Daphnia pulex: one gene and its partner. The protein of the gene in region 1 interacts with the protein of each later gene in a pairwise test. Links are inferred from orthologs where the notes say so. Each region holds a gene or a part of one and is shown on either strand. Other genes may lie near its edges. The genes, in order: developmentally-regulated GTP-binding protein 2-like and RWD domain-containing protein 1-like.

Evidence for each region.
Region 2: the proteins of developmentally-regulated GTP-binding protein 2-like (region 1) and RWD domain-containing protein 1-like interact in binary tests that used the Homo sapiens proteins (3 or more experiments, as listed by UniProt). The link is inferred for Daphnia pulex from reciprocal best matches to the Homo sapiens genes DRG2 and RWDD1.

Annotation. Positions count from the first base shown.
Region 1 is NC_060026.1:4,078,298-4,082,055, forward strand, and holds developmentally-regulated GTP-binding protein 2-like, read left to right. Parts: upstream 1-1,188; 5' UTR 1,189-1,290; coding exon 1,291-1,354; intron 1,355-1,424; coding exon 1,425-1,585; intron 1,586-1,644; coding exon 1,645-1,815; intron 1,816-1,881; coding exon 1,882-2,025; intron 2,026-2,090; coding exon 2,091-2,198; intron 2,199-2,260; coding exon 2,261-2,620; intron 2,621-2,680; coding exon 2,681-2,743; intron 2,744-2,808; coding exon 2,809-2,832; 3' UTR 2,833-2,943; downstream 2,944-3,758. Other genes in the region: copper-metallothionein-like, read left to right, coding at 160-244, 386-484, 555-628. UniProt on the Homo sapiens protein: Catalyzes the conversion of GTP to GDP through hydrolysis of the gamma-phosphate bond in GTP. When hydroxylated at C-3 of 'Lys-21' by JMJD7, may bind to RNA and play a role in translation.
Region 2 is NC_060022.1:4,905,767-4,908,947, reverse strand, and holds RWD domain-containing protein 1-like, read left to right. Parts: upstream 1-1,574; 5' UTR 1,575-1,652; coding exon 1,653-1,734; intron 1,735-1,799; coding exon 1,800-2,031; intron 2,032-2,100; coding exon 2,101-2,494; 3' UTR 2,495-2,513; downstream 2,514-3,181. Other genes in the region: uncharacterized protein LOC124196018, read left to right, coding at 1-78, 185-417; COX assembly mitochondrial protein homolog, read right to left, coding at 709-1,034, 1,106-1,154; 40S ribosomal protein S5, read right to left, coding at 3,002-3,070, 3,129-3,181. UniProt on the Homo sapiens protein: Protects DRG2 from proteolytic degradation.

The DNA of each region.
Region 1 (3,758 bases):
TAGGATAATGAAGTGTGAAAAATTGGGTATCGTCTTGTGCAATTCTGGCTAAAGGGATGACGTCATAAATATCGACGGTAGGACGTTTTTAAAATAAAAGCAACGTTGTCATTAAATATTTTTTTCAAGAGGATCCACTTGTTAACGTCGGATCTGAGGATGTTTTCCAGCTGTATTCGATACCCTTCCGTCAAACTGACAACAACAAGACCAGCCATGCCTAAAGAGTGTGTTCGTTGTCAAAGTAAGTTACATTTAATTGCTATTTAGTGCCTCGATTTTGAATTTCATATTTATTTGTGCACCATCTGTTTCTCGAATGTCTTGAATCAGTGAATGACGTGTTAGATTTTTACCTTACAAACTGTTCGTACTTTCTGTCTAGATGGGTGCACATGCGGGGACGACTGCAAGTATGCAGCCAACTGTATCAAATGTCCCACAGCTTCGTCACAAGGAGAGACTTGCAAATGCTCGACTCCAGGTAATGTTCGTATTGAAAGCTTTAATCGCCGACAAAAAAATTAATAGCTTTTTCACAATTGGTTGTATAGGGGGTTGCACATGCGGTACCAATTGCCAGTGTGGAGCGAGTTGCGTTTGCAAAGCTTCGTCCTGCTGTAAATGAATATCGTTGACGTGACGTCTGAAGAATTAATCCAACATATTCTGAAATCATTTCTGGAAACTTTCATTACTATTTCCCTTTATCGTCTAGATTATATATCCAAATTCACAAAACGATATTAAAATACATTTCGTCGATCTATAATTCTTCGTAAGAAGTATTTGCTTTTTTTGTTATTACCTGATTTCCATACCCCCCTTTCGGTTGGCCATTTTCAGGCTGTTACTACACAGTGGAATAGGCAAGTTATAAAAGCTTTATGTGGTAGTATCATGGGATTGCACTAAGTGATCGAGCGACAGTACTTTTGCAACAGGAAAACCTAGCAAATGATAACGCATCAATCGAGAGTATCAGGCGCTGGTCTAGTGGTCTGGTATCTGTATAATTACCGAGGATAATAATAGCAGTTGAGAGCTCAAATGTAAAAAAAGTTCAGTGGGTTGTTAACGCGTATTTATTCAAGGATATAACGAGACATTTTTTTTTAAAATTATCATTTGTATTGTTTGTATTTGATTTTTGTTTACCGCCATTGCGTATCTTCCGAATGGCAACGTTGCTTTTGACTGCCATGCTGAAGGCCTAAAGTTGGTCTGCTGTCACTTTGATAATTCCAGTTTTTGTGTTTTGTTTTCGACGACCATTTCCCCTGAACGAAAATGGGAATTCTGGAAAAGATTTCCGAGATTGAAAAGGAGATTGCCCGTACTCAGAAAAACAAAGGTTTGCGTCCATTATTGCTTCTTTCTTATGCGGATGTAATGTATAACAATACTTTTTGTGCACCGTGCAGCTACCGAATATCACTTGGGGCTGCTGAAAGCGAAACTTGCAAAGTACCGTTCGCAACTATTGGAACCCTCCAAGAAAGCTGGAGAGAAAGGAGAAGGCTTTGATGTACTTAAATCCGGAGATGCCAGGGTGGCATTAATTGGATTCCCATCTGTCGGCAAGGTGTGTTAAGGTTTAAAATTGTTTAAAATTTTATTTAACACAATCCCTTTCTTTCCTAGTCCACCCTTCTTTCAACTCTAACCAAGACCCAAAGTGAAGCTGCATCATATGAGTTTACAACACTGACATGTATTCCTGGAGTCATCGAGTATAAAGGTGCCAATATCCAATTATTGGATCTCCCTGGAATCATTGAAGGGGCTTCCCAAGGAAAAGGCAGAGGAAAACAGGCATGTCATGAGTTTCTGGAATGCAAAATTATAATCTTTGAATGAGTTTTCTTTATTGTGGTTTAGGTTATTGCTGTTGCAAGGACAGCTGACTTGGTTTTGATGATGCTTGATGCTACCAAGGGAGATGTACAGAAAACCTTGTTGCAGAAAGAGTTGGAGAGCGTAGGAATCAGGTTGAACACCAAAAAACCAAACATTTACTTCAAGGTAAACTTGACAAATACATAGAGCAAATGATTTTTTCTTTACTGAAAAATACCTTACATTGATAGCACAAAAAAGGTGGTGGTATTGCCTTCAATGCTGTTTGTCCATTAACCAAAGTGGATGAGAAACTGGTTCAGCTAATTCTTCATGAATACAAAATTTTCAATGCTGAGGTACTAGTTCACATTTCCTAAATCGGAAAACCTGACGTTGTAACGTGTTTGTCTTTTCGTAGGTTTTGTTCCGCGAAGACTGCTCTGCCGACGATCTGATTGATGTCATATCTGATAACCGGATCTATTTGTCGTGCCTTTACGTTTACAACAAGATCGATCAAATTTCGCTGGAAGAAGTTAATAGGATTGCACGACAGCCTCATTCTCTAGTGGTTTCCTGTAACATGAAGCTGAACCTCGATTACTTACTGGAGACTCTCTGGGAGTACTTGTCCTTTATTCGAGTTTACACCAAGAAACCTGGTCAGCCCCCCGATTTCAACGACTGCTTGATTTTGCGACGAGGCGTTTCTGTCGAACATGTTTGTCACTCGATCCATCGCACGTTGGCCCAAGTCTTGAAATACGCGCTTGTTTGGGTAAATTAATTCACTTTACCTTATGAATGATGCAAATTAATGATCTTGTTCCTTTTATAGGGTACGAGCGCTAAATTTAATCCGCAACGAGTTGGTTCACATCATATAGTGCATGATGAAGATGTACGTTCAACACCATTAGAAAGTTGTTGTATTTTTAGCTAATTGGTTTTCTTTTCTCCTTCTAGGTAATTCAAATTGTGAAGAAATGAAAATTCTTCTTGAGCTTTCTGAAGAGGTTCAAATGCCGAAGAACGAATAGGGGAAAAGCTTTTTGTTATGGTTGGCTTGAGAATTCAAATAAAACACATAAACACCTCTCACATATTAGATCCGACTAATCCGTCGAAATTACCGCCAGAAGGAGTTTTGTGTGAATTCTTGATGAGCTTTAAACATGACTTTGAAATTAGCTTAAGTAGTGCCGGCGAACGGGCAACGTTGGAATATTTCGATTAAAATCATTGGGGGAAAAAATATTGCAAGAAAATAATGCAAACAAATTATTTGCCTTTTGATGAAAAATGGACAGTCATTCCCAGGGTCACACAGAAAGAAAGGTTTTTTAGTCCAAACCCAAGAAATTTGGCCTTGCTGTCCTTGGGTAATTTGACATGGCCTTCGTCTGCTACGATTACTGTTAGGAAGGAGGTAGGACGTCAAAGTTGTAGCTGCACTTCGACTCCTTTCTTTGATCCTTTTGTGATCTAGCTAGGCCAGTTAAAACAATAAGGGAAATCGAAAATATTTTAACCCTCCTTCTCAGTTCCAAGTGCTCTTTTTTTAAGCAGAGAAGCCATTTGAATGTGATGCTTCTTTGTGTTAACTTCTAGACTAGCTCCAATGTTCCCATTGTCTCAGAACCCATCTAATTCCAGTTCCAGTCGTGGAAATGGCCGAAGTTCGTCATCTTCTCATAATAACCCCCATAACCGAAATTATGGGGCAGCCTTTTTCCAGATGATGACTATTGCCCTCCTATGCACATCTTTGGCCCAACCATCCTGGCTTTCGCTCACAACCAGGACAAATTCTGCCTCTCCCAGATCGGGGGAAAGCTGTCCAAAACATCTCACATTATATCAGTTCTTTGACTATGGCTATTTTGAGACTGGAGATTCTAGAAATAGTACAACTA
Region 2 (3,181 bases), on another chromosome or scaffold:
TCACTGCAAATGCTACTACTAATGGAAGCAAACGTCAGAAAGATAATAATACAAACTTCAAGTTTAGCAATGACCAATGTAAGATTTTTTAAATATTTGATTTGGTTCTTGTTGTCCAGTAATACAACTTTATTTTACCAACATGTACTTAATCATATCAAACCTTTTCAATCTATTTCAACAGATGCAGATCCATCACCGTCAAAGTACTGTGACAAGATGATGAATTCCATTTGGGGACTTTACAATCGCTATTCTGTTCACAATTTTAAAAGCAACACTTCGTCAGGTCAAGCTCAAACTGCAACATTGCAACAGCCGGCTACTAAAGAAAGCCAGGACTGGTTGCAAAATCCCATCAAGTGCCCACTGGAGGGAATGAAATTAAACTTTAATTCAAAGAATTTCCACCAGTAAATGCATTGATGGGCTGAACCAGAGAAAATGAAACATCATTTTTTCTGGTCTACACTATGTTACCTTTTCAATTAATCTCTTTCAATCCCAGTTCATAATAGGGTGGTAGAGTGGGTTTATAACATTCCCAGATGTGAAGCAATGGGCTCATAATTTGGTGTCAATCAATTGTGTTAAAATGTATCATCAGAGTTATCAATACAATTTATTCTACATCTTCATTGTTTATTTTAAATTCTTCGTGATTTATAAAGAAAAGAAAAACTTACACCAACTCCATGCAATATTTGACTAGGTACTATTAGTTGCATTTTCAGTTTCCTTGTGACGATGTTTCTTGGGAATTCCTGTTAGTCTGAATTCTCTCCTTTCTTTAAGGTAAATTTCCTTGCATTCTTCTTTGAAGACTTCATCTTTATACCATCTCGTCTGACAGTCTTGCATGGCTGCATTTTGTTTCCGGCATGAATATGCCATCAGCACATTGCTGGATGAACAACATTTTGTAAATTCTTCAACTTCAGGCACACATTTTTCCATTTTGGCTCTGTCTCTCATAATCTTTGGAATAAGAACTTCTTTTTCGACAATCCTCAAAGTCCTGTCATCTGGATCGCCTGTAGGTATTACCAAGTGAATATACATTAACGGAGCCGGTTAAACATGGAATGATATAATTATATAATACCGAGCCCATGAGGGCCTTTTGCGTTGTGCGTTTCCTCCTGTTTCGACATAATCGCATTTAATTCAAAGTCGATGACCTATATGTCAATGATATCACAACCCGATAACACCGTTTAGTGGAAGACTGGAAGAGAAGTTAACTTCGAAAACATAACATAAGAGAAATAAAAAAAGAAGTCAAGGCCTGCTGGCTTCACCACCAATTATGAGTTGTGTATGTGTAGTACCTTGGTTCTAGATGTAGATGGAGCCATGTTACTTGTTAGTCACAATCTTGTTTCAGCAAACTTCCTAAATAATCGATTTATTTATTTTTTTTAAATTTTTAATGAGAAAAACTGATGAAAAACTCGATGACTTTTAACCCAGACATGACGATTTTTTTTCATTTCGTAAAGAAGTTTTCTTTTCTTGCTGTCTCTTCAATATCTCATAGATGTCGATAGTTACTGGGCAAGCCGAATATTGGAAATGTGTCGTCTGCTCTCTCACATGTTGACATGTGAGAATTTAACAGTACGTCATTAACTGTTTTCTCCTATTTAATAATGTCACAAAATTCACAATACAAAGAGGAACAATTGGGCGAGATATTCTCTCTCGAATCAATTTATCCCGATGAACTGGAAAGTAAGTACTGTAATTTAAATACAAGAAAGCATTGTGCCAACAAATTAATTTCTCTACTTTTTCAGTTCTGGAAGAGGAGCCATTCCATCAATTTAAACTGCAAGTGAAATCCGAAGGACACGATGAAGAAGAAGGGATCGGTTATGCATGTGACCTTAAATTTACCTACACACCAACTTACCCAGAAGAAATTCCAATGATTGAAATCATGGATGATGTAGGTTTGGATGATGAGCAGTTGGAAAGACTGAAAGACCGTCTTGAAAAAGAAGCTGAAGATAATCTAGGAATGGTGATGTAAGAATTTAACAGTTAAAGTTTTCCATCAAGTTATCACTTATTTTATTAATGATTTGTAAAATCTAGGATATTCTCTTTAGTCTCCACTGCCAATGAGTGGCTTAATAATGAATGGGATGCTGAGCTTAGGCGTCGGGATGAGGAAGCAGAACGTAAAATACTTGAAGCTGAAGAAGCAGAGAATAAAAAGTGTCATGGTACTGCTGTTACTGTGGAGAATTTTCTACGGTGGAAGGCTGAGTTTGATGCTGAGATTGCTGCACTGAAGAAACCAGAGAAGGAAGACAAGGATAAGAAGCTCTCTGGTAGAGAGTTGTTCATGGTTGACAAATCACTGATTGAATCTGATTTGAAATTCTTGGAAGAGGGTGGAGAAGTTGTCAATGTTGATGAATCCTTGTTCCAGGATTTGGAAGATTTAGGTTTAGATGATGAACTTGTGTCAGATGGAAGTGATTAAAATAAAATACTGGCTATTATTTATCTTTATTTGTCTGTTCTGTTCTACATTCTTAAACCAAATTTCAACTTAGACAACATAAGGTCAAAGACAAAGCGAGTATTTACTTGGGACGCGTAAATACGTTTGGACCGAATTTTAACGACCCTGAAATTTCACCTAGGCAGTCATTTAGAGAAAGTAGACCAACACAGAAATCACATAAGACCTCACCTTAACCAATCTTCACGTTGATACTCGAATCATGAAAAAAATGTGACTTACTACGTAATTAAATGTAAGTGATCGATTAAACAAAAGGCAATGTCAGTCCTTCACAATAAGACTACGAACAAAGCATTATAATAGCATGCTTGATTCATTTAATCAACATTCAATAAATAACCAGCAATGTAATTTCAAAGAAAAACAGAACAAAATTTTAATTGGGCAATTCTGTGTATTGTACTGATCGACACAAAACCACCTCTGGAGGGTCGATGGTACTGACCGTACCAGAATCTGTTGTTAACGGTTAGATTTGGCAACTCGCTCCAACTCGTCCTTTTTCTTGATAGCGTAGGAATTGCTTGATCCCTATAGTTGGATAATACGTTAAACAATGCAAGAAATACGGCATTTTTCTGTAACTGACCTTGGCCGCGTTGATAAGCTCATCAGCGAGACACTCGGCGATCGTCTTGATGT